7 linked regions of the Macaca mulatta genome follow. The protein of the gene in region 6 purifies or fractionates together with the protein of the main gene of each other region. This does not show direct contact. Links are inferred from orthologs where the notes say so. Each region holds a gene or a part of one and is shown on either strand. Other genes may lie near its edges. The genes, in order: TUT1, GPHN, ZGPAT, PRP4K, SNU13, PRPF4 and MEPCE.

What was found.
Region 1: the proteins of PRPF4 (region 6) and TUT1 purify together in Homo sapiens (co-immunoprecipitation; 3 studies listed by BioGRID and IntAct, counting the BioPlex papers as one, with this or other methods). This does not show direct contact. The link is inferred for Macaca mulatta from reciprocal best matches to the Homo sapiens genes PRPF4 and TUT1.
Region 2: the proteins of PRPF4 (region 6) and GPHN purify together in Homo sapiens (affinity purification with mass spectrometry; 3 studies listed by BioGRID and IntAct, counting the BioPlex papers as one, with this or other methods). This does not show direct contact. The link is inferred for Macaca mulatta from reciprocal best matches to the Homo sapiens genes PRPF4 and GPHN.
Region 3: the proteins of PRPF4 (region 6) and ZGPAT purify together in Homo sapiens (affinity purification with mass spectrometry; 4 studies listed by BioGRID and IntAct, counting the BioPlex papers as one, with this or other methods). This does not show direct contact. The link is inferred for Macaca mulatta from reciprocal best matches to the Homo sapiens genes PRPF4 and ZGPAT.
Region 4: the proteins of PRPF4 (region 6) and PRP4K purify together in Homo sapiens (affinity purification with mass spectrometry; 3 studies listed by BioGRID and IntAct, with this or other methods). This does not show direct contact. The link is inferred for Macaca mulatta from reciprocal best matches to the Homo sapiens genes PRPF4 and PRP4K.
Region 5: the proteins of PRPF4 (region 6) and SNU13 purify together in Homo sapiens (affinity purification with mass spectrometry; 4 studies listed by BioGRID and IntAct, counting the BioPlex papers as one, with this or other methods). This does not show direct contact. The link is inferred for Macaca mulatta from reciprocal best matches to the Homo sapiens genes PRPF4 and SNU13.
Region 7: the proteins of PRPF4 (region 6) and MEPCE purify together in Homo sapiens (affinity purification with mass spectrometry; 4 studies listed by BioGRID and IntAct, with this or other methods). This does not show direct contact. The link is inferred for Macaca mulatta from reciprocal best matches to the Homo sapiens genes PRPF4 and MEPCE.

Annotation. Positions count from the first base shown.
Region 1 is NC_133419.1:11,486,117-11,489,616, reverse strand, and holds part of TUT1 (speckle targeted PIP5K1A-regulated poly(A) polymerase), read right to left. Parts: intron 3,355-3,500; coding exon 3,254-3,354; intron 1,067-3,253; exon of another isoform or gene 861-1,066; coding exon 391-860; exon of another isoform or gene 337-390; intron 1-336. UniProt on the Homo sapiens protein: Poly(A) polymerase that creates the 3'-poly(A) tail of specific pre-mRNAs. Localizes to nuclear speckles together with PIP5K1A and mediates polyadenylation of a select set of mRNAs, such as HMOX1.
Region 2 is NC_133412.1:139,613,026-139,617,313, reverse strand, and holds the start of GPHN (gephyrin), read right to left. Parts: upstream 2,801-4,288; 5' UTR 2,710-2,800; coding exon 2,646-2,709; intron 2,595-2,645; coding exon of another isoform or gene 2,296-2,594; exon of another isoform or gene 1-2,295. Other genes in the region: uncharacterized protein LOC144330299, read left to right, coding at 2,296-2,594. UniProt on the Homo sapiens protein: Microtubule-associated protein involved in membrane protein-cytoskeleton interactions. It is thought to anchor the inhibitory glycine receptor (GLYR) to subsynaptic microtubules.
Region 3 is NC_133415.1:116,592,814-116,595,172, reverse strand, and holds part of ZGPAT (zinc finger CCCH-type with G patch domain-containing protein), read right to left. Parts: intron 933-2,359; coding exon 799-932; intron 587-798; exon of another isoform or gene 564-586; coding exon 411-563; exon of another isoform or gene 1-410. UniProt on the Homo sapiens protein: Transcription repressor that specifically binds the 5'-GGAG[GA]A[GA]A-3' consensus sequence. Represses transcription by recruiting the chromatin multiprotein complex NuRD to target promoters.
Region 4 is NC_133409.1:179,203,391-179,206,890, reverse strand, and holds part of PRP4K (serine/threonine-protein kinase PRP4 homolog), read left to right. Parts: intron 1-2,052; coding exon 2,053-2,226; intron 2,227-3,500. UniProt on the Homo sapiens protein: Serine/threonine kinase involved in spliceosomal assembly as well as mitosis and signaling regulation. Connects chromatin mediated regulation of transcription and pre-mRNA splicing.
Region 5 is NC_133415.1:9,821,489-9,825,614, reverse strand, and holds the start of SNU13 (NHP2-like protein 1), read right to left. Parts: upstream 2,801-4,126; 5' UTR 2,718-2,800; coding exon of another isoform or gene 2,715-2,717; exon of another isoform or gene 1,027-2,714; intron 699-1,026; exon of another isoform or gene 449-698; intron 1-448.
Region 6 is NC_133420.1:45,022,425-45,025,924, forward strand, and holds the end of PRPF4 (U4/U6 small nuclear ribonucleoprotein Prp4), read right to left. Parts: intron 1,633-3,500; coding exon 1,510-1,632; intron 1,399-1,509; coding exon 1,291-1,398; intron 1,201-1,290; coding exon 1,082-1,200; intron 567-1,081; coding exon 373-566; 3' UTR 72-372; downstream 1-71. UniProt on the Homo sapiens protein: Plays a role in pre-mRNA splicing as component of the U4/U6-U5 tri-snRNP complex that is involved in spliceosome assembly, and as component of the precatalytic spliceosome (spliceosome B complex).
Region 7 is NC_133408.1:47,626,440-47,630,718, forward strand, and holds the start of MEPCE (7SK snRNA methylphosphate capping enzyme), read left to right. Parts: upstream 1-1,479; 5' UTR 1,480-1,877; coding exon 1,878-3,548; intron 3,549-3,806; exon of another isoform or gene 3,807-3,888; intron 3,889-4,279. UniProt on the Homo sapiens protein: S-adenosyl-L-methionine-dependent methyltransferase that adds a methylphosphate cap at the 5'-end of 7SK snRNA (7SK RNA), leading to stabilize it.

The sequences.
Region 1 (3,500 bases), on a different chromosome or scaffold from region 6:
ACTTGAGACTTGGCAGGTGCAGGAGTTTCCCAAGCCAGACTCCCTCCTGGCGCACCCCAGAATTCTCAGCCGGCCTGCCCCAAAGAAAAGTATGGTGCCTCACGCCTGTAATGCCAGCACTCTGGGAGGCCGAGGCAGGCGGATCACCTGAGGTTGGGAGTTCGAGACCAGCCTAACCAACGTGGAGGAACCCCGTCTCTACTAAAAATACAAAATTAGCCGGGCATGGTGGCGCATGCCTGTAATTCCAGCTACTTGGGAGGCTGAGGCAGGAGAATCACTTGAACCCGGGAGGCGGAGGTTGCAGTGAGCCAAGATGGTGCCATTGCACTCCAGCCTGGGCAACAAGAGCAAAATGTTGTCTCAAAAAAAAGAAAAAAAGAAAGATACCGGTTACTGAGGGAGATGTCACCGTGGAGACCTGAAGGCCGATGACAGAACTTGACCACAGGGCGCCGGGCGGAGGGCACAGTTTGGACTCGATACACCCCAGGGACACAGCCCCGGAGAATGGATCCCACCAGCTCCAGCATTGCTGCCCCTTCTGCTTTCTCCCGCTTTGGGGCCTCTGCTAGTTCCAGGGCCTTCCCCAGGTCCCCCTCTCCCCTATCCTCCAGCAGTGGTGAGGCTGGAGGCAGAGACTGGGGAGAAGCAAGGGTCTCAGAGGCCAAGGCAGAGTCTGGAGTTTGGGGTGCCAGGGAGGAGGAAGGGGTTTCAAAGTCCAGGGCTTCAGAATCCTGGGGAGAAGCTGGAGATTGTGAATCTGGAGGGGAGGCTGGGGTGCAGGCCAGGGCTTGAGGGTCCAGTGGCGAAGCCAGGGCCGAGTCCAGCGATGGAGATTCTGGAGCCTTTGGGACTGGCTGTGGACAGAAATGAGCTGAGTGAAATGCTTCTGCTGTCCCCTAAGCAGAGAACATCTCTATCCCCAAGATAATATCACTTCCAGCTTATTCAGCTCTATGCTAAGGGCTTTATACATATTAACTCATTTAATCTTCACACCAACCTTTTTTTTTAAAGATAACCTTTTAATTCTATAAAATAAAAGGTCTACCTCTGCAAAAAATGTCATTATCGCGAAAGACAAAAACAGAGGAACTATTACAAACTAAAGAAGACTAAACAGAAACCATAACAGTCCATTGTCAGGACAGCTGACCAAATTAGAGTATGGAATGTAAAGTCTAAAGGTTTACATTTGTATCAATGTAACATTTTCTCAACTTGACAATGGTACTGTGGTTATACACTAGAATACCTTTGTTCTTGCATAACACACATTGAAATATTGAGGGGTAAAGGAATGTGATACATGCAACCTCTCAGATGATTCAGAAAATACAAATAAAGAAAGTGTGTAGAGAACGACAAAAAGAATGATAAAACATTTAAAAACTCCTGTTGCGGGGGCAGCAGGCATATAGGAACTCTACTTTCTGCTCACTTTTGCTGTGAATCTAACACTGCTCTAAAAAATAAAGTCTTTTTTTTTTTTTTGAGATGGAGTCTCAATCTGTCATCCAGGCTGGAGTGCAGTGGCACGATCTTGGTTCACTGCAACCTCCGCCTCCCGGGTTCAAGCTGTCTCTCCTGCCTCAGCCTCCGGAGTAGCTGGGATTACAGGCGAACGCCACCATTCCCGGCTGATTTTTCTATTTTTAGTAGAGACGGCGTTTCACCATGTTAGCCAGGCTGGTCTCAAATTCCTGACCTCAGGTGATCCACCTGCCTTGGCCTTCCAAAGTGCTGGGATCACACAGGCGTGAACCACTGCGCCCCGCCAAGTCTATTTTTTGAAAATAATAATAGGCTGGGCATGCGGGCTTATACCTGTAATCCCAGCAATTTGGGAGAATGAGGCAGGAGGATTCCTTGAGCCTAGGAGTTCAAGACCAGCCTGGGCAACATAGTGAGACCCTATTTCTAAGTAATAATAATTATCTTTTTCTATTCCTAAAACAGAATCTGTACATTAGATGTTAGAAAATACAGGTGCCGGGCGCGGTGGCTCACGCCTATAATCCCAGCACTTTGGGAGGCCGAGGCGGGCGGATCACAAGGTCAGGAGATCGAGACCACGGTAAAACCCCGTCTCTACTAAAAATACAAAAAATTAGCCGGGCACGGTTGTGGGCGCCTGTAGTCCCAGCTACTCGGGAGGCTGAGGCAGGAGAATGGCGTGAACCCGGGAGGCGGAGCTTGCAGTGAGCCGAGATCCGGCCACTGCACTCCAGCCTGGGCGACAGAGCGAGACTCCGTCTCAAAAAAAAAAAAAAAAAAAAATAGAAAACACAGGTAAGTGGCCGGGCATGGTAGCTCATTCCTGTAATCCCAACACTTTGGGAGGCCAAGGTGGGTGGATCACTTTAGGCCAAGAGTCCAAGACCAGCCTGGCCTACATGGAGAAACCCCATCTCTACTAAAAATACAGAAAATTAGCCAGGCATGGTGGTGTGTGCCTGTATTCCGAGCTACTTGGGAGACTGAGGCACGAGAATCACTTGAACCCAGAAGGTGGAGGTTGCAGTGAGTAGAGATCACAGCACTGTACTCCAGCTTGGGTGACAGAGTTAGACTGTGTCTCAAAAAAACAAAAAAAAAAGAAAGAAAGAAAATACACAGAGCAAAACTAAAAGGACCTTATTGTATAATTTTTAATATATTTTTTCCAAAATAAAATCATATTGTACACACCATTTTGAAAATTTTTTTTGTTACGACTGCCAGGTATCCATGTCAATTCATTTTTTCTTTCTTTTTTTTTTTTTTTTTTTTGAGGAGGAGTCTCCCTCTGTCACCCAGGTTGTAGTGCAGTGGTGCAATCTTGGCTCACTGCAACCTCTGCCTCCTGCATTCAAGGTGATTCTCCTGCTTTAGCCTCCCAAGTAGCTGGAACTACAGGTGCACACCACCATGCCCAGTGTATTTTGTTTTTAGTAGAGACGGGGTTTCGCTATATGTTGGCCAGACAGGTCTTGAACTCCTGACCTCAGGTGATCCGCCAACCTCAGCCTCCCAAAGTGCTGGGATTATAGGTGTGAGCCACCTTGCCTGGCCCTGTCAGTTCATTTTCATCCCATCTAATACTCATCCATATTCACATCTCTCCAATTACAATAAATCCTTTCAGGTAGGTCCTATTATCTGCATTGTAGATGAGGAACTAAGGCATGGAGAGCTAAAGGACTTGCCCACAGTCACATGGCCATTCTCATGGACTCTTCCCAGCTGCCTCCCTGGGGCACTCACTCACCTGGGGCTCTTCCAAGTCACCCAGATCCAAGAAGAGGTCAAGATCACAGCCATGGACATCGAAGCTATTTATGGAAGAGCCAAAAGGGTGGACCACACAGCCTGGGTGCCAAGCAGAGAAGAAAGGTCAAGAGAAGTTAGGGAGGAGCAGGGGGAGGAAGAACAAAAGGGAGCACAAAGATGGAAAAGCAACCAAACACTTCCAGCGGAGGGAGGACTGGGGATATAGACGCAGGGGAGCAAAGGCC
Region 2 (4,288 bases), on a different chromosome or scaffold from region 6:
GAAGTTCTAGAATACACAAATTTGCATAGCACAGCTTCATTTTTGTAAGTTCTTTCCTCAAAATCATGTATCAGGCAAGACCACAGAAATTAAGCTGTTGATAATGAAACCCACTAGTTACAGACTTGAGAAAAATCAGTTTTCTTTCCTCTCCATCACAGTAGACAATATCTGTATCAATAACTTTTCAAGAAAAAGCGTAAGTTATTTCTGACTTCAAATATACATGTTACCATCAAAACCTACTTTCCTCTATTACCACTTTTTCCAAATCTGTAGCTGCCTTTTCATTCCTTCAGCTACATCCTTCTTCCTGGCCCTGGACTACTGTACCTCATTCTCATAATAGCTTCCCCTGATTGTCTTTAATTCCACTGTCAATGTTAATGTTATCTTCTCTCTGACATTTTACCTATGCCACCTACCTATTCCACTTGAGCTTTCCAAGGCCTTTATATTACATTTTTATTCTGCTCAGGAGCCTCACCATCAACTACATATTTATTTATAAAGTGGCAGCTGACTTTCAACTCCCCTTAAAATTGCCAGTTTCTTCTTGACTCTAGCAAATGTATTAAATTCTCCCTTCAGGTAGTCATATTTGCTCCTAATCCATCTGAATATGGAATTTCTTTTGCAGTTAACCCCAAACTCATAGAAAATGTATTTAGAAAAGTTTTGCACAATAATTACATGCAATGTTTCTTGAGTTGTTTGCCTATCAATGTTATCCATATCAGACTGTAGGGACACGAGATAAGGTCTGCATCTTTCAAAGCAGTCTGTACAACACCTACCTGCTATGTCACTTCACAAAGCTAAGATGATTCGTTAAATGAAACTATTATTTAATGGAAAGCTTAAGCAGAAATGTTCATTTTAAAAATAGTTCTACAGTTTAACTTTTAAACATCTACGGCCTTTTTTATTTCCACAGACAACTGACATATTTTGGTTTCTCACTACTCTATTAATTGTTAAAGAATGGCTAGAATTTAAAGTGCAAGTTGAGGGTAGATAAAGGATATACACTTTCACATCCCATCATCAGATTATTCGAAAATTGGCAATGTCAGTTCCAGGAATTCTGAAATACAACTGAATCTTCACATAACCAAACAGTTTCAGGATCAAAAGAAGAGAACCGCGTACCTTTCTGATTTGGGGGTTCCCTTTTCTGCAATTGGTTTAGACTAGTTTCACTACCAAAGGATCTTTTGATTAGGAAAATTCAATTAATCACCATCGATATACGGAAACAATACCAGGGAAAGGCAATCCTTTACTTAAAAGAGAGAAAAGGAGGCTTTGGATATCACCTTTTCATAAAATTCAGCAACTAAATTAAGCTTTGCACTCAGTATCTGCCGGCAGCCTCAGACCTTTTTTTTCTACCTAATAATAAAAGCAAGTCTTATTCAATTTAGTCCCTTCTCGAGCACCGTCTCGACCTGTCAGAATTTGGCAGTTAAAAAAAATTTTTTTAAAAGAAGTAAGGGAAACACTAGGATTCCCGTACACATTGCTTCTTTTTCCGAAATCACATCACTGAGTCTTGAGCTTCCTTCACTCCAAACTAAGCCCTCAGATTCCAAATATAGTTCTTTAACCCCCGCCTCGCCACTCAATTACACATAAACCTTGCCAACTACAGAACCACAGCAGAAACCCCTACAAATCGGCTTGGCGTTCATCTTGGAAGTCATGCCCTGCAGCAACTGCCGATCGCCGAAGTGACGGATATTAACCACATTCAGCGCAACGGAATCAGACATGCAGAGCACACACGGCTTTCGCGAGGGAGGGAAACGCGACCCGGGAAAAGTGCGCTCCTCACCAGCCTCGGGACGCTCCACCGGGGTGGGGGTTCCCAGAAAGGAGGGGGAGAGGAGCCCGAGTAGGGGAATCCTGCCCTCTCAAGTAAAAAGAGCTGGATCCCCCGGCCGCAAGCTGCAGCCCGTCCTCGCTAAGGAAACGACGAGGCAGAGGGCCCTTTGCTCGGTAAGGCAGAAGGCAGACACTTTCTGAGGTCCGGATCAAGCCGATCCCCCATCCCCCGAAGGAGGCGAAGGGTGCCCCATGGGTGGCTGAGGGGATGCCCGGCCCGCGAGGGACAACCCGAGGAGAAGCAGTTTCATCTGATTAACACCTGAGTCGCGTCCGGGCAAGCACAGCTACTGGCGTGGGGCCGCCCGGGTTGGGGGAAGGGAAAGGGAGGAAGGGGGTGGAGATGGGATTCCCCCCTCTCTCAGAAGAGCACTAACGGAGGATGCGTCCGGGCCAGCCGAGAGCGGCATGCTTCAGACTGCGGAGCCGGGATCCCGCCGCCTGCACCGACAGCAAGGATCCCGCAGCGCCCTCCGCACCGGCCCCTCGGTCCCCGGGGGCCCAGGACTTTGTTTCCGAAGGCGCTGGGGCCTGACATCCCACGGGGTCGACCACGGCTCCGGCGGGCTGGGGAAAGGGACCCGCGGGAACACCCCCAATCTCTGGCGGTTCTCAGCGGTTGTAAAATGCACCCCCGCGGTTCCCTTCTTCAGCCTTCCCTCCTCCCGAGGCCGCAGAGAAGGGCCACCACAGGCGAAAAGCCTAAGGCAAGTCAGGGACTGCAGCCTCATAGGTCCCGCACCTCCTCCCCCGGTTACCTGTAAGGACTCCGACACGGATTTGATGGTCGTGGTTAGTAAGGATCATTCCCTCGGTCGCCATGTTTCCCAGCGCAGTCACCGCACTGACAGGAGCCGGGAGAAATTGGAGCCCGGAGCGCGCGGGCCGGGAGCGCGCTCGCCGCGGAGAGCGCGAGAGCTAGGGAGCCAGGGAAGCGCGAGGAGAGCGGGGAAGGAGTGGGAGGCCGTAGAGTGCTCGGTGGCCTGCGTGGGGGAGAGGCCGCGCCGGGAGTGCACGGGTCCGCGGGAGGGGGCGGAGTCAGGGCGCGCGACCCCAAGCCCGGCAGGAAGGAGGCGAGCTGGAGGGGTCGGTGGCCGCACGGGGAGAGCGCGCGGAGGCGGCGGAACGAGGCTGGAGAGGCTCGGGCCGCTCTGCGGAGCGCGAGACCCAAGGCAGCTAGATGGCAGGACTGAGAGGAAAGGAGAGCACACGCTCTGGAGGTTGCGGGGGCGGACTCGGGGACAGGGGCGGAGCTACACCCTGAGGCGTGGAACTCGTGGAGAGTGAGGGGAGGAGTGAGAGCTCGGGTGCTGAGTACTGGGAGCGGGAAGGAGCGGGAAGGAGCGGGCCCAGCCTGAGTAGGACCGCGGATCGCTCCTGGGTGCGCGAGTAGCGCGGGATTGGCTGAGTGAACGCGGAGCGTGTGCGCGCTAGGCAGGAACGCAACCTCGGCCGGGCCCCAGACAGAAGCAATCCCCTGCCGAGCCTGACACCTCGTCGGTTGTCCGCGCCTTCGGAAGACTGTAGCCGGCGGGCCGGCCTTCTGAGGGGACCGCGGGAGGAGCGACACTGGCTCAGCACGCCGGGCCGCGTCTTGCAGCCCTCGGGAGCGGCCGGCCGCCCCACTGAAGGCGCTGGCGAACCTAGAGGTGCCTTAAAAAGCTGCGTTTGAGTGGCAGAACGACGGCTACTATGATAGAGAGCCTGCCGTGGGCGAAGAGGGAGGTATCCTGTCCCGCCCAGTGTTAGCCGCTGGCTTCCTCAGTCGGCTCTCCCTGAAGGAAGATTTCCGCTTCACCTGTGTTTTAGGATTCCATCTCCAGTCAGTGCCTACAAGACGATCCTCACATGCGAAGCTTAGGAGTCTGAGGCAGGGCAACTGGAGTGGAGACACCTGGCTTCTCTTCCTCCTGCTGTCCCACGGTTTTATGGCCTTAAGCCTCTTCGCCGTGAGAGCTGCTTTTAGGTGAAAAGCATCTATCTCCTTAGCGAACGAGAACGTGTTCCACCTGAATCACAGTCCATTGCCGCAACGATTCTCATTTCAGTATTCGTGGGATGTGAGATTACCATGAAAATAGCTTTTGTTGCCATTTATTTCCATGTGCCTTTCATGAAACGTGTTATTAATCACCTGTGGCTGTTCTACGTTAGTTTCTTACTATCTTTCTGGACCTTTCAGCTTCTGAATTTTAAAAAGTTATATGCGTGTGTGTGTGTGTGTGTATACACACACTCATATGTATATATTTTTTCTTCTTAGCTGTAGTAAACCTGGAGGCATAAAAGTGAAAAGCAAAGTGAAAAATGTATAATATCAGTGTTTATACACAAATTTCAAAGTCACTTTGATTGTTTTGTTTTTTAATCCGGAGTCTCGCTCTGTCGCCAGGCTAGAGGG
Region 3 (2,359 bases), on a different chromosome or scaffold from region 6:
CTGTCTGCCAGGATCCACCAGGCACCCAGGTCCCAAGTTTGAGAAGCCATGCAGAGGAGCTGCCCCTCTTGCACTCCAGGCCTCATCGGTTGTTCATTTTCTGTGACTTCCTTGGCAACTCCGGGCGCCTCCTCTCCCATGGCCACAGCCATGACCATGGCCTCCCATCAGTGAGACTGTAGTTGTTGTACCCACGCTCCTTGAAGACAAAGGCCACCACGGATCTACCCCGGCCCTTCACTCGCACTCCTGTACCCCTGCCCCACACGGCCTCCCCAGGCACGGCTGGCGCCCTCGCTGTGGCCACTCTCTCCAATAGTTTGGTTAGACGGTCGGTGCCCTCAAAAGCCAGGAGCCTCTCAGGGTGACCCCACCTTCCTGGCTCCTGGGTTCCACAGCTGCTGCCATACCTCTGGCATAGCTGGAGTCACCTGTGCCATCGCTGTCTGAGTCGGACTCTGTGGCCTCTGTGCGCAGTGGGGGCAGGATGCCGTCCCCCTCCACCACGGCCTCCCTCAGCAGCAGCGAGTCAAACTTGACTGTGTAGTAGCCATTGTCCACATCTAGAGGCAGAGACAAGCTGCAGGTCAGCATCCTTGACAGCAGCTGCCACTGATGGGGAACCACCCTGGACATCAGGAGCAAGGCAGGGCAGAGGCTGAGGGTAGATGTGCTCATTTCGGGCCCAGAGCCAGAGTCCCAACACTCATCCCAAAGGAGGCAGGGAGCAGCCACGCAGTAATAACACGTGTGGAGCCTGGGAGGGTGTTCCCGGAAGGCCTCCACGGCCAGCCTCACCGGTGATGCGCGCCGCATGCCAGAGGCCATCCTGGTGCTTGGCCAGACACGCAGAGCCGGCCTGCAGGGAGCTCAGGTCTGGGTCCTGGAAGGGGCGCAGCTCATCCAGAGGGACCACCTGCCCATGGGAGAACCTGCAGACAGAGCCATAGGGGGCAGGGCTCAGACATGGGCCACCAGGGGCAAATAAACCCAGGAGCACTGACCCATCCACCTGGGCACCATCCTGAGGGAGCCAGACACATGCATGTATACACACACACACGCACACATATACACATACATGCACATACACACATGTACACATACTCGTACACACATGCACACGCACTAACACATGCATACACGTACATACACAGGCGCACACATGCATATACACACGTACACACATACACATGCATATACACACATACACATACACTCACACATGCATACACGCATGCACACACATACACATATACGCATGCACATACACATGTACACACATACACACATGCATATAACACATAAACATGTAGTCATACACATACACACAGACCCTCACACATTTATAAACATGCACTCACACACACACTCATGCAAATACATATGCAGTCATACATGGATATACACAAGCACCCTCTCACCCACGCACATGCGCGCACACACACGCCTGCTCACACACGTGCACATGCACTCTCACCCACACACATGCGCGCACACACACGCTCTCTCACACACGTGTGCACATGCACTCACCCACACGAGCACACACATGCACACACACGCGCACAAACGTGCCCTCACCCACACATGCAGTCACCCACACACATGCGCACACACGCACTGTCACATGTACTAACATATACACCCATACACGCATATACACACACATGCACACACACAACATGCACATATGCATACAAGCACACATGCACACACGACATGCACATATGCACATACGTACACACACATGACATGCACATATGCACATACATGCATACACACTCACACTTGCACACACACATACAGTAGTCTCTTGGTATCTGTAGGAAACCCCCTGTGGACACTAAAACCCGAGGATGCTCAAGTCCCTTAGATACAATGACACAATATTTGCATACAACCTATGCACATCCTCCCATATACTTTAAATCATCCCTAGAGTACTTGCAGTACCTGATACAATGTAAACGCCATGTAAATAGTTGTTATACAGTGTACAGACGCAGCCATCCTTTTCTTCCCCAATTATTTTCGACTGGAGATTGGTTGAATTGATGGTTATGGAACCCGCGGATACCAAGGGCCAACTGTACACTTTACACACGTATGCACATGCACACATACAGTCTCTCTCACACACAAAGGGCCTACTGTACACTTTACACATGTATGCACATGCACACATACACACACACACAGTCACACACACACACATACCAAGGGTCAACTGTACACTTTACACACGTATGCACATGCACACAGTCTCTCACACTCACACGGGCCTACTGTACACTTTACACATGTACGCACATGTACACACAGTCTCACACACACTCACACAAGGGCCTACTGTACA
Region 4 (3,500 bases), on a different chromosome or scaffold from region 6:
GACGAGGTTTCCCCATGTTGGCCAGGCTGTTCTCGAACTCTTGACCTCAAGTGATCGCCTGCCTTGGTCTCCCAAAATGTTGGAATTACAGGCATGAGCCACTGTGCCTGGCCCGTTTACATTTTTTAACTGGTCTTTGAGATTGCGCGTGTGGGCGAGCAGATTAAATAAGAGTTTCCTCAGATGACCCTATCAAGAAAGCACTACCAAGAAGTAAGCACTGCAGATCTGAGTCAAAGTCTACCTTGCTCATTTTGGCTGGATCAGAGAAAGATTCTTGGGTTCTGTATACTGTGCTGAAACATGCAAGACAGGTTGTGTTTTTAGGTTTTTATTAAATGAGGAAGGCTGGGTGCAATGGCTCACGCCTGTAGTCCAGCGCTTTGGGGAGGCTGGGACAGGTGGATCACCTGAGGTCGGGAGTTCGAGACCAGCTTGACCGACATGGAGAAATCCTGTCTCTACTAAAAATACAAAATTAGCTGGGTGTGATGGCTCATGCCTGTAATCCCAGCTACTCGAGGCTGAGGCAGGAGAATCGCTTGAAGCTGGGAGATGGAGGTTGCAGTGAGCCGAGATCACACCATTGCACTACAGCCTGGACAACAAGAACTAAACTCCGTCTCAAAAAATAATAATAAATTAGGAAAATACTGTAATGTTATTATTTGATTATGTAGACAAACCTATTTACAGTCTGACTGTTCAGATTAAATAGTTGTGTCCAAACCTGGAATAACATTAAGAAATGTTCAAAACCTGTTTTGAAAAATTAAGCTGTAGAAAGGCCTGTTGTAATACAAATATCACATTAAACGAGTAAAACTCACTGAAAGGTACTTCTGTGATAAGTATTGAAAAGTTGGGTTTTTGTGGGGTTTTTTGGGGAGGCTGGAGGCAAGGTCACACTCTTGTCATCCAGGCTGGAGTGCAGTGGCATTATCTCTGCTCACTGCAGCTTCTGCCTCCCAGACTCACGCCATCCTCCCACTTGAGCCTCCCTAGTAGTTGGGACTATCTTCACATGCCACCACACTTGTCTAATTTTTATATTTTTTGTAGAGATAGGGTTTCGCCATGTTACCCAGGCTGGTCTCAAACTCCTGAGCTTAAGTGATCCGTCTGCCTCAGCTTCCCAAAGTGCTGGGATTACGAGTGTGAGCCACCACACCTAGCTATTGTTTTTGGTTTTTTGAGACAAGTTCTCACTCTGTCACTTGGGCTGCAATGGCACAAACACAGCTACTGCAGCCTCAACCTCGTGGGCTCAGGTGATCCTCCCTCAGCCTCTGAAAGTGCTGGGATTACAAGTGTGAACCACTGTGCCTGGCCTATTATACTTGACATTAAAAATAAGATTTTTGGCCAGGCATGGTGGCTCACGCCTGTAACCTCAGCACTTTTGGAGGCCAAGGGAGAACCACTTGAGGCCAGGAGTTCGAGACCAACCTGGGCAACACAGCGAGACCCCCATCACTACAAAACAAAATTAGTCAGGTGTGGTGGCATACCCTTAACGGTTCCAGCTACTCAGGGCGGGCTGAAATGGAAGGATTGCCTGAGCCTGGGAGGTCAAGGCTGCAGTGACCCATGTTCGCGCCACTGCACTCCAGTCTAGGTGACAGAGTTAGACCCTGTCTCAAAAAAAAAAAAAAAAAGAAGAGATCCTTAATTGGAGAAATGTCAAAATGTAGAAAGAAAAAGTCTTCAATGGAAATGGGATATTTGAGTAAATGGAATATTATACTCACGTGGGCAGGTTTTATTTGGGTTGTTTATTTGAAATTAGAATCAGTAACTTTACTGGTATGAATAACCTTTAGTAATTCTTCAAATTGTGGGACCAGAGGAAATAAGACCTTTCATTGTTTGCCTGCAATAACACTAAAATGTCATTGTGGCCATCTGAGTAAGTTTTGTTACAAAACACATTAATTAGAGTTCACTCTCTTTAGGCTAGTGTGCCTTTTCTTACAGATATTCCTTGCATATAGAAAAAAAATCATTTACTTTGATTTATTTTTCTTTTAACTTGCATTTGATCCCCTTAAGAACACGACCTCGAGATGATATCCTCAGTAGACGTGAAAGATCAAAAGATGCCAGCCCCATCAATAGATGGTCTCCAACCCGAAGAAGAAGTAGGTCTCCCATTAGAAGGAGGTCTCGTTCCCCACTCAGACGTAGCAGGTCTCCAAGAAGAAGAAGCAGGTCTCCTCGGAGAAGGTAAAGACATTTCATCCTTGTGATTCATTAAACTCTGAATGTTTTTAAACCACCCATGAGCTCAGTTGGTAGGTTTTCTTTTGACCAGTTTTCTCTGAAAAATCGTAGTTGTGTTCCCAGTTTCCTTTTACCAGCAGTCTTTACACGTGGGTTTTCTTTTATATCGTTTCCTTTGAATTTTAACCAAATCATTACTCATTTAAGATGCAATAAAATTAATCTTTTAAGAGTAGGACTTTTTTCTCTCTTTTATGAGAGATAAATATTAAATGAGCCAGGCTTAGGGATTTTTTTTTTTTTTAACTGGCAAGGTAGATCATATAGTAGTAAATATGTAGTCCAGTTTCTTATCATTTTATATTAATTTTGCATATTGATAGTTACTGTAGACTTTGGCCAAGGCCTATTTAATTTGCCATAGAAACCACTTTATCTGAAGCATATGTAATCAGTAGTAGGTTAAAAAGGTGGTTTATAAAGCAGGGAATCATTTTTTAAAATTCATACATACATGAAATATTTTGATATAAAACATAAATGGGTATTTGTTCGCCCATCTTTTAACATTTTTAATTGAAGTAATAAATGAATGTAATTCTTAAAAAACAAAGGCTTATATTGTAGTCATCTCTACATATCTCTCAGAATTTTTGTATGCTGTATTCCTAGAAGTGGAAATGCATGGTCTGAGTACACTCTGGACAATGAGGGGTTTTATTTATTTGTTTTTTTTTTAGACAAAGTCTCACTCTGTTGCCCAGGCTGGAGTGCAATGGCGCAATCTCACTGCAACCTCCACCTCCCGAGTTCAAGCAATTCTTCTGCCTCAGCCTCTCAAGTAGCTGGGACTACAGAGGTGCGCGTGCCACCATGCCCGGCTAAATTTTTTTTTTTTTTTTTTGTATTTTTTTAAATAGAGGTGGAGTTTCACCATGTTGGTCAGGCTGGTCTCAAACTCCTGACCCCAAGTGATCCGCCCGTCTCTGCCTCCTGAAGTGCGGGGATTAGAAGCATGAGCTGCTGCACGCAGCCACAATGAGGGTTTTTAATACCCCCCCTCACCCATGTTTCTCTTTTGCCTATTTTCATCACACGTTTTTGTTCTTCTAGAGTCAGTATAATCATTGTGATCATGTATGTATTCATTGCTGGGCAAATAGTTGGGGGAGGAGGGCAGAGAGGACCTGCCTTCTGAGACGGCTAGTCTGCTGGCTCCAAGCTCATCTTACGACTTGCTTTTTTCTCTCTCCCCTTTTTATAAAAAATTTCTTGTG
Region 5 (4,126 bases), on a different chromosome or scaffold from region 6:
AGCTGGGATTACAGGCATGCGCCACCATGCCAGGCTAAATTTTGTATTATTAGTATAGAGACAGGGTTTTGCCGTGTTGGCCAGGCTGGTCTACAACTCCTGACCTTGTGATTCGCCCGCCTCGGCCTCCCAAAGTGCTGAGATTACAGGCGTGAGCCACCGCACCCGGCCAACACCTGGCTAATTAAAAAAAAAATTGTTTAGGTTGAGTACGGTGGCTCACGCCTGTAATCCCAGCTCTTTGGGAGGCCGAGGCAGGCAGATTACTTGAGGTCAGGAGTTTGAGACCAGCCTGACCAACACAGCAAAACCCTGTCTCTATTAAAAAACAAAAACAAAAAATAGCTGGGCGTGGTGGTGCGTGCCTGTAATCCCAGCTACTTGGGAGGCTGAGACAGGAGAATCGCTTGAACCCGGGAGACAGAGGTTTCAGTGAGTCGAGATCCACCTGCCTCGGCCTCCCAAAGTGCTGGGATTAAAGGTGTGAGCCACCACATCCGGCCATACAAATATGTTTTATTTGATACTACAGTAGGGATTTTATTTTTTTTTTGGGACAGAGTCTTGCTTTGTCACCCAGGCTGTAGTGCAGTGGCACGATGTCAGCTCACTGCAACCACGGCCTCCCCGGATATAGTGATTCTTCTGCCTCAGCCTCCTAAGTAGCTGGGATTACAGGTATGCACCGCCATGCCCGCCTAATTTTTGTATTTTTAGTAGAGATGGGGTTTCACCATGTTGGTCATGCTGGTCTTGAACTCTTGACCTCATGATCCGCCCACCTCGGCCTCCCAAAGTGCTGGGATTACAGGTGTGAGCCACCGTACCCGGCTGGAAATTTTGGTTAATAATTTATCACCTTTTATTTTATTTATTTATATTTTTTGAGACGGAGTCTCACACTGTCACCCGGGCTGAAGTGCAGTGGCGCGATCTTGGCTCACTGCAACCTCTGCCTCCCAGGTTCAAGCGATTCTCCTTGCCTCAGCCTCCCAAAGAGCTGGGATTACAGGTGCCCGCCACCACGCCTGGCTAATTTTTTTGTATTTTTAGTAGACAGGGTTTCACTATGTTGGCCAGGCAGGTCTTGAACTCCTGACCCCATAATCCACCCGCCTTGGCCTCCCAAAGTGCTGGGATTACAGGCATGAGGCACCGTGCCTGGCCCTGTCCCACATTTTAAAATAGATATACTTAAAAATATTATGTGGAACCCCCAAAGTACATACAACTATGATATGTCAATTTAAAAAAACTTTTAAAATTGCTGTTGTTTCCAACAACCCATTCTCTGGAAATCAGGATCCTCAACTCTCAATAAATATCAAATTCATAAGAGGAAAACTTCAGGAATCTGAACAGCCATCAAATACCTAAATGTTTCACTATTAGTAAACAAAAAGTTAAACTCAATTTTAAAACCAAACTACCTAGCTTATAAACACTAATTGAAACTTGCTTAGGGTGTATTTATTCGCCTTTCAATTTCTTCAGAGGTTAAATAAATTAATGAATGATAGCATACCACCAGCCAACCTAAATCCGTACCTAGCGTGATCAGTTTGGTTTCCCTGTACACCAGACAGCCAAAACTTGCAAGGTTTTGATTGGACAACAAATACTGCGTGCTCACTCTGTGCCAAGCATGAGGACTAGATGTTTAACATGCTTTATTTCATCTGATCCTCACAACATCCTGATGCACTGTCATTCCCATTTTACAGTTGAGGAAAACTGCAAAGTTCAACCTGAGACCATCCGATTCCAAAACGTTTCAGGGAACTGCATAAAAGCGAGCACTGAGTTTGAAAGCTTCGAGTTCTAGGCTCAGCCACGCACTAAGCTTCAAAATGCATGGGAGGAGGTTTGGGGGGAGTGCTACCGCCGGGATCCAAGCTCCGCTGGAAGGATTAACTATAAACGTTACAGTGCTTTGCAAATTCTTCCCTCCTCACCAAGTGCCAACCAAAACGACTACGCCAGGACACACGTTTTAGAACTTTCCCTAGATATTTAAAAGTCAGAGACGACCAAGAATTCAGAGACGCCGCACGTGGTGCTACCAGACTTCTGGGTTTTGAAGCCACCACCTTGCGGGAGAAGCCCTTCCTGCGCTCCAGGCCGTGAGTCGCGCTCACTTCATGTTCCCCACAGCCCCCAATTGCCAAAGTCTCCTCTAGGTCCCTGGCGCGTGTGACTCGCGGCGAGCACTAGGCGCACACCCACAGGAGATCTCCTGGACCCCAGCAACGGGGGTGGGGTGAGGTAGGGTGGGTAGGAGAGGTTGATCCGAATCCCAGGGTCCCACGCCATCGTAGATTTCGTACTTAAAGAAACAAGGGGAAAAAAAAGTTGGAGCCAAATTTTCTTCACCCAACTTTTTGCCCTCTCCCACGTGGGTTGGTCTCTTTCTCCCGCTAGGCCATGCCCCCTCCGCTCGCCGCAGACCTTCTGCCACGCAAACAGATCGTGCGGCAAAGCACCACAGCAGCGGGGATCCCTGAGGTTTCCTGAGTTCTAACCTCGAGTTCTAACCTCGGGCCAGGCTGTTGGGAACCCGCGGCTGCTGGAGTTCTAACTCAGGGCCCGGCGGTTAAGACCCAGCGCCGGCGGATGAGACGGCGCAGGGTCTAAGCCTTCATCTAACAGGCCAGGGAGTGAACGCAACCCCGAGTCTCCTGCTTCCCGGTCCCTTGGCCGGCGCACGCACTCACCATGGCTGCTGTTCCGCGGGCTCGGCACTTCTAGGAGAGCGCAGCCGACTTCTGAGCAGCGTTCGCCTCCACCGGAAAAACTCACTGAAGCAGCAGCGGAAACGGCCCCGCGCGGCAGGAAGCAAAGATGACGCTACGCAAGCGAGCTAGCGGGCCCCGCCCCCTACGGGGCACTGGCGCGGAAACTGGCTCTGTGTTGATGAAGGAACGTACTTTGGCGTTCTTATGAGCTGTCCAGTACAAATTATTGGCAGAAACAATGAATTAAAGATTCAAAAAATAACCCACCAGTCGGTCGCAGTGGCTTATGCCTGTAATCCTAGCACTTTGGGAGGCCGAGGCGGGCGGATCACTTGAGGACAGGAGTTCAAGACCAGCCTGGCCAACATGGCGAAACCCCGTCTCTACTAAAAATACAAAAATTAGCCAGGCGTGGTGGCGGGCGCCTGCAAACTCAGCTACTTGGGAGGCTGAAGCAGGAGAATCGCTTGAACCCCGGAGGTGGAGGCTGCAGTGAGCTGAGATCGTGCCACTGCACTCCAGCACTCCTGCTGGGGCAACAGAGCAAGACTCAAAGACCAAAAAAACAAAACAAAACAAAACAAAACAAAACAAGGCCGGGCGCGGTGGCTCACGCTTGTGATCCCAGCACTTTGGGAAGCTGAGGCGAGCGGATCACCTGAGGTTGAGAGTTCGAGACCAGCCTGACCAACACGGAGAAACCCCTGTCTCTACTAAAAATATAAAATTAGCCGAGGGTGGTGGCGCATGCCTGTAATCCCAGCTACTCGGCAGATTGAGGCGGGAGAATCGCTTGAACCTGGGAGGCGGAAGTTGCAGTGAGCAGAGATTGCGCCATTGCACTCCAGCCTGGGCAACAAGAGCAAAACTCGGTCTGAAAAAAAAAAAAATTCAGCCACTAAACGGTTAAGTCCTGGCTCATTATGATTGGCTGACGTCCCTGCCTGCTCAGATATTTATTTTGAATAGAACCTTTGGGTAAAAGAGTCTTCAGGGTAGCATTTATTTTCCCACCAACACTGATCCTAAGATGGGAAAAGTAATTACCCCATGGGAAATCAGGATACTGCAAGCAACGAGAAAGGGATGCTGAGTGGTTAAACAATAATACCTGTATTCAATACAGTGTTTATTAAATGTTTGATAATAGATAGAAGGACAGGCAGATCCAAGTATCTCATAGGAAGAAAGAAATCAAGCAGACTGCAGGTTATATAACCCCATCACACATTCAGGGAACTTAATCTCTTCATTCCAGAGGATGGGGTTGTTTAAAACAAGTTCTTCCTCTTAATTACTTTTGAGCAATTCCCCAATACTGTCCTTACCTGCACCAAGAGCATGCTAGCCAGCCCTGGCACCAGGGTCAGAGTTGAGGATGGGGCATCAGC
Region 6 (3,500 bases):
CCATGTTGCTCAGGCTAGTCTTGGACTTCTGAGCTCCAGTGATCTGCCCAACTCAGCCTCCCAAAGTGCTAGGATTACAGGCATGAACCACCATGCCTGGCCAAACAAAAGATTAATAAAAACAATGTCTACACAGTTCATGGCAGGGCATAAAAAGGTAATAAATTTTCAACCATGAGATGGGTTCACCATTACCTAGGGATTGGGCCGCCTGCCTGGAGTGGGGGCTGACATGGAAATCCAATTCTAGTGAGGGTCTACGCATGGTAATTGGCAGAAAACATGATAGAACTAAACATTTCAATTCTTCTCTTTTGAGGAAAACAGCTCCTTAGAAAGAGCTTGAGGTTCAAGTCCTTTCTCCACTGTCATCTATTCAGCCATCCAGAGCTTGAAGGTCCTATCATATGAGCAAGTGGCTATGAGCTGCCCATCGGAAGAAATATCTAGGCCCATCACTTTGCCTTCATGGCCGGCCAGAGTCTTCAGCGGGGACCAGCCTGGGTGCGTCCAGATCTTGGCTGTGTTATCATAGGCACCCGTAAGCAAGAAGTTCCCATGGATAGCTACAGAAGAGAAGGGGAATTGCTTGAGGAATTCAGGTATTCAAAAGAGAAGACAACAAAAGCACAAAAGTCTGCAAAAACATACTATTTTTAAAAAACTTATTTCTACATTCAGAAAAAGTCAACATTGATTCTGTCTTCCTACTAGGCCTCCAGGTAAAGGGGATAACCCAAGGCAGACTTAAGGGAACAAATAACAGTAAGGTCCTCTGGCTCATTCCCTGACTGTAAATCTGTTCAGAATAATATTTAGAATTCAGTGCTCAGAGCATCCATGGGGGAAAGAATGAAGCAAAGCACTCATGAAAGTCTTTACTTCCAGCAACGAGAAGCATGCTTTCCCACAGATCTAAGGGTATGGCAGGGGGAAGGAAATTATAATTTGCTCCTTTACCAGTAGGTCAAATTCTCTCCTGTTCTACTTCTCAGTTTAAGCTAAAGTCTGGCCTGTATTGCACGGGAACACAATACTGTTTGTCTGTGTCATTTAGATCTAAAATAGGAGGAAAGCTTACGCTCAAACTTCACACCAGTCACTAAGTTCTGATGAGCAGGGATGGTGTAGACGCAACGCCGCTGTCGAAGGTCCCACACTTTGCAGGTGTTGTCACCACTGCCGGTTGCAATATGATAGCTGTGGATCGGATGCAGTACTGAAGTTAGAAATAGAGTACTTTCTGACCCAGAACCCTTTTTCACCCCTCATTCAGTGTGTTTATTTTACCCATTGGGGGAGAAATTTATTCCATAGATTTCTTTCAGGTGGCCTTCTAAGAACATGATACAACGTCCTGTGCGTAGGTCCCAAACTCGACCAAATGCATCCAGTCCCCTGATAAAATAATTTATAAATGAACACTTTGAATCCAGTTCTCTGTGGAAGCACGCATACATAAGAGGTGAGAGTACTGAGCTGCCCCTGGCTACATGGGAGAAGCCTTACCCAGTGCCAGCCAAAGAGCCATCTTGATGGAAGGCAATGTCATACACACCCATGCTGTGGCCTTCCTGATGCAGGATCTCCTCTTGAGCCTCCAAATCCCATAATCGCCATGAACGGTCATAGCTAAAACCAAATCACACTAACAATCAACCAGCTGGTATTTATCCAGTTTCTACAACATATAAAGTATTGTAAGTCATTATAGCTTGTTATTAATGCTTCTGAAACTATTCATATAACCATATTAACAGGAAGCTCCTTTCTGACATAAACAATGACTCAACAACTAAGCTTATCTGCCTTAGGTGCTGACTGAAAACCATGGACTCGCTATAAACCTCTAGTGCCTATTTATTTATTTATTTATTTTTGAGACAGAGTCTCACTCTGTTGCCCAGCCTGGAGTACAGTGGCGCAATCTCGGCTCACTGCCAGCTCCACTTCCTGGGTTCAAGTCATCCTCCTGCCTCAGCCTTCTACGTAGCTGGGACTACAGGTGTGCACCACCATGCCCAGCTAATTTTTGTATTTTTCGTAGAGATGGGATTTCACTATGTTGGCCAGGCTGGTCTCGAACTCCTGAGCTCAGGTGATCCACCTACCTTGTTCTCCCAAAGTGCTGGGATTACAGGTGTGAGCCACCGTGCCCAACCTAGCGGCTATTTTAACAGGATTCCCCAAGAATGGCCCAGCAAAGACTGTGTTGCCTTCTTCCTTCTTCCACTGTTATGCTCTTTCATTTATCAAGCATTTATACATTTACTAGGCCCTAAAATGGATGTTGGGAATACAAAAATCACTCACAGACAAATAGATCAACGGAAGAGAATAGGAAGTACAGAAATAACCACACATACATGGTCAGATGATTTTCAACAAGGGTACTGAAACATTTCCAACAGAGAAAGGAAAGTCTCTTCAGTACACAGTGGTGTAACTGACTATGCACATGGAAATAAAGACAAAAGAGACAAACTCAATTAAAAAAAACAGGCAAAGCATATGACAGGGCACTCAAGAGCAACAGTGATCAGGGTAATAAGAATGAAAATCATGGGAGATCACTACACACCTGCTAGATTGGGCAAAATGGTAAGTCTGACAATACCAAATGTTAACAGGGATGTGAAGTAACCAGAACTCCGGGAATGTAAAATGGTGTAACCGTTTTGGAAAACTGGTGGGGAGTTTAGAAAAAGTTAAATATACGTCTAATACCTCTACCCTATGACCCAGCAATTTGTACTCATGTCCACAAAAAGCCTGGTACAAGAATATTTATAGCAGCTTCATTCCGACTGGCCCAAACCTGGAAACAGCCCAAGTGTCCATCAACAGGAGAATGGATAAACTATGGCACAGTCATAAAAATGAACAACCCCCAGCAATAAAAAGGAATTACTGATACATGCAACAACATGAATGACTCTTAACAATGTTATGCTGAGAGAAAGAAGCCTGCCACAAATGAATTCACACAGTATGAATAGACGTAATTAATTTATGGTGATAGAAGTCAGATCAGCAGTTGCTTCAGAAGGGGAGTTGGCTGGAAAAGGGCATGAGGGACCTTTCTGGGGTGATGGGACTGTTCTCTACATTGACAGGGGTGTGGGTCACAGGAATGGTACACATTTGTAAAGAATGATAGCTTTGTACACAAAATAAATCCATTCCATTGTATGTAAATTACAGCTTAATGAAAAAGTTCTCTAGCAGATTCTAGCCTCTCTGAACTTACAGAACCAGGAAGGGAGACTTACATACCTGTAGCATTGGACAAAAGTGAAAATCCTTGTTTTCTGGTAATTTGTAACTCTGAAATTTCAGATCAATTGTAATTTAAAGGCAAATATGACTGGGTGCGGTGCCTCATGCCTATAATCCCAGCACTTTGGGAGGCCGAGGCAGGAAGATCACTTGACGTCAGGAGTTCAAGACCAGCCTGGCCAACATGGTGAAACCCTGTCTCTACCAAAAATAAAAAATTA
Region 7 (4,279 bases), on a different chromosome or scaffold from region 6:
CTACCTTCAGGAGCAAGGAGGACCTAAAGGCGAGGTGCAAAACCAGCTGGCGCAGCGACTCCGCAAGCCTCTCACACCTCAACCCAGGTTTCCCGCCACCAAGAAAAGGCACGAGGACGTCGGGCGCGCTAGCTCCACCCCCGGGAGGCGCGCTCGCGGAGTCTGAGGCGCATGCGCAACTGGAAACAGCGTCTGCGTTTCCGCGGCTGAGGTAATTCCGCCATCTTTCACCCGAACGTCCCGGGAAAACTACAAATCCCAGAATCCTCTTTGGTGTCACATATTTTTAGGCGGCGGCCGCAGCGCCTGATTGTTCTTGAAGCACATCTTACTAACTTTTCTCTGTTTCAGATTGCCTTTTCCTCCCTCTTTCCGTTCCCTGATTCCTCCTCTTCCTGCTGGTCTCCTTCACGCCCTCACTTTAGGATTTTATTTGAGACTTTCCGGGACCCCACTGTCACCCCTGTCACCCGCTCCTCGGCCCAGCACTCCGCTGGCAGGAAGACCGGGCTGCGAATCTCCCCGGGAAAACGCCGTAGATTCGCTTCTTCCTCATTGGCCGAAGCGGGGGGGGGGGCCCAGCGCGGACCGAACCCCCGTCCCCGCCCACACTCTCTGGTATATAAGTCGGCGCGGCGCCGCGGCGGGCGTTTGGGGAGGCCCGTGAGCTGACGGGCCAGTGAGCGGGCGTCGGGAATGGGCGGAGGCGTTGGGGTCCGGGCCGTGGGTGTGGAGGCGGAGAGGAAGGCGTGGTGTGGCGTCTCCAGGTGATTGCGATTGGGGGAAGGCAGAGGAACCAGAGAACGACTCAGCCGTTTCGGGGGAAGAGGAAGTTGGACAACACCGGCTGTTTTAGTGCTTTTTCTTTTTCCCCAATTCAGCAGAGAATATTTTCGAGGGGGGTGAGTTATAATGACCTATCGCGTTTTACTGAGCCCAGTTCCACTCCTGCCCTTCCTCGGCTTTGTAGGGTCTCTCTGCTCCTTCGGAAGCGCTTCTAAGAAGATGGGCAGAGGGGGGAGGTGTGCTACCAACAGCTCATGAATAATTCATGAGCACCGCCCTTCGTCGGGAAGCCCTGCCCCTCCGGATCGCGCTGACGCACGCTGCGTTTACCAAACTTAAGGAAGCGACGTCACAGGCCCTACCCCTAAGACGGGAGGCGGGGCGCCACCTCCAGCACGTGCTGCCTGTACCCGCGCAAGCCCAAAAGGGTGTGCGCAGGCGCTGCCCACTAGGGGGAGGAAGGAGGCGGGGTGGGGAGGTTGTTGGATTTAGAGCCGGGTGGAGACCGCTGAGACTCATTCCTCAGGAACAAGGGTCGGGTGTCAAGGAGACCTTTTCACACCAGGTCCCGTCCCCCGCCTACGGTGGGTGGGATCGCGCGGCAGAGACAAAGGAGATCAGTAGGGCCGGACCTAGCTGCGCAGGGAAGTAGGGTGTCAGTTTGGGGTGGTGGGCTTTTGCGGGGGCTGTGTGGGGGGTTATATTTAAACTCCCAGAGCCGTTAAGTTGGTTCGTACTCCGATGCGCGCGCAACCAGGGTGGTGGCGGAGTGCGCATGCGTGGTTCCGGGGCGAAGGGAACGCGCGCTTGCCGTGCGCGCTCGCGGCGGGGTGGTAGTGGCGGAGGAGAAAGGGGTCGGCGCACGCGCGGTTGAGTGCTCGAGTAGTTCGGGTGTCGCGGGCATCTTGTTTTGGTCTCGCGGGCGAGTGGGGCGCACTTCGCGGGGAGGCGCTTGGGCGCGAGACTAGGCGAGAAGAGCAGAGCTGCGCGCGCACTCGGGAAAGGGGGGGAAGGGAGCAGGGTCCAGGCAGGGGGGGTTAAGCCCCCTGATCCCCCTCGTTACCCCGACTGGGACGGAATAAGGGGAGGAAATGATCGAGATGGCGGCGGAGAAGGAGCCGTTTCTGGTGCCGGCCCCGCCGCCGCCGCTCAAAGATGAGTCGGGCGGAGGGGGCGGCCCCACTGTGCCACCGCACCAAGAGGCCGCCTCTGGGGAGCTCTGCGGCGGGACGGAGCGTGGTCCGGGTCCTTGCGCGCCGTCTGCGGGGTCCCCGGCCGCTGGGGTCGGTCGAGAGAGCCCCGGGGCCGCGGCCACCCCCCCCGGTGGTCCCCAGGCGCAGCAGCACCGAGGAGGCGGCCCCCAGGCGCAGTCGCACGGGGAGGCCCGCCTGTCGGATCCCCCGGGGCGAGCCGCTCCCCCGGACGTGGGGGAGGAGCGCCGGGGAGGGGGCGGGACAGAGCTGGGTCCCCCTGCTCCTCCTCGACCCCGCAATGGCTATCAGCCCCACCGGCCACCTGGGGGGGGCGGGGGCAAGAGGAGAAATAGCTGTAATGTAGGGGGAGGTGGGGGAGGCTTTAAACATCCGGCCTTCAAGAGGCGCAGGCGGGTGAATTCGGACTGTGACTCTGTGTTACCCTCCAACTTCCTCCTGGGGGGCAATATCTTTGATCCCCTGAACCTGAATAGCCTCCTGGATGAGGAAGTGAGCCGCGCCCTCAACGCAGAGACCCCTAAGTCATCCCCCCTTCCGGCCAAAGGGCGAGATCCAGTGGAGATCCTCATCCCCAAAGATATTACTGACCCGCTCAGTCTCAATACTTGCACTGATGAGGGCCATGTAGTTCTTGCTTCGCCACTCAAGACTGGTCGGAAGCGGCATAGACACCGGGGACAGCACCACCAGCAGCAGCAGGCAGCCGGAGGGAGTGAGAGCCACCCCGTGCTGCCCACAGCCCCTCTCACCCCCTCACTCCACGGGGAGGGCGCCTCACAGCAGCCGCGGCACAGAGGCCAGAACCGGGATGCCCCCCAACCCTATGAACTCAACACAGCCATCAACTGCAGGGATGAAGTGGTGTCTCCGCTTCCATCTGCTCTACAGGGTCCCTCAGGCTCCCTATCAGCCCCTCCAGCTGCCTCAGTTACCTCTGCACCCCCATCTTCCTCCTCCCGACATCGCAAACGTCGCAGGACTTCCAGCAAGTCGGAGGCAGGGGCTAGGGGTGGAGGCCAGGGTTCCAAGGAAAAGGGCCGAGGGAGTTGGGGAGGCCGTCACCACCACCACCACCCACTGCCTGCAGCAGGCTTCAAAAAGCAACAGCGCAAGTTCCAGTATGGGAATTACTGCAAATACTATGGGTACCGCAATCCTTCCTGTGAGGATGGGCGCCTTCGGGTGTTGAAGCCTGAGTGGTTTCGGGGCCGGGACGTCCTAGATCTGGGCTGCAATGTGGGCCATCTGACCCTGAGCATTGCCTGCAAGTGGGGCCCGTCCCGCATGGTGGGCTTGGATATAGATTCCCGGCTCATCCATTCTGCCCGTCAGAACATCCGACACTACCTTTCCGAGGAGCTGCGTCTCCCACCCCAGACTGTGGAAGGGGACCCGGGGGCAGAGGGTGAGGAAGGGACCACCACCGTTCGAAAGAGGAGCTGCTTCCCAGCCTCGCTGACTGCCAGCCGGGGTCCCATCGCTGCCCCCCAAGTGCCCTTGGATGGAGCGGACACATCAGTCTTCCCCAACAATGTTGTCTTCGTCACGGTAAGAGGGTCCAGAGGCTCTTGGAATAGGGGTCAGGTGTGAAGATGAGATTAAACGGGAATGTGGCAGGGAAGGTTATGACCCAGTTCCTCAAAAGAGAGGTCTGGGTTGGCAAGTGAGAGTCTCTGCTGGGCATCTCTCCCCTCTTATAACCTGGAAAGGTGGGGTCTCTACCTTGGGGCATTGACCCTGGAGTCCTTTCTCATGACTGCAAGGATCTCCAAGATAAAGGAAGACTCTCTTTTTTTTTTTTTGCAGTGCTCTGGGCTTGGCCTATAATCCACACTGGTCCACCTTCCCTTCCCTTGAAGGCTGCTGCTCACTAGGGAATTCGATCCAGGTGGAACTTGGTCCTCAGGTTGACTGAAGGAGCCTGAGATGGGGGTCGGGCATGGAATGTCTTCTAGGGAGATTAGGGTAGCAGCAGACTAATATTGGCGTTTCTGCCCTTTGATAGCCACCTTGCTCCCATCAGCAGCTTTTGTTTTTCTAGACAGTTTGTGAAGAGTGTCAGGAACCCAAGTGACTTGGCTGTAGATCCTCTCCACATTGACCCTAGATAATGGGAGAGGGAAGAACCAGAAACTCCTCTGCAGAGAGGAGAGCCCCATGCCCCACGGAGTCCCCTGACCCCACACAGCTCCCCAGAGAACTCTCCAGTTAGGCCGCCTGCTGGGATCTTTGGCATTGCATTGGGTTAAGCCTTGAAGAATGGTCTTTTTAGAGGGTTG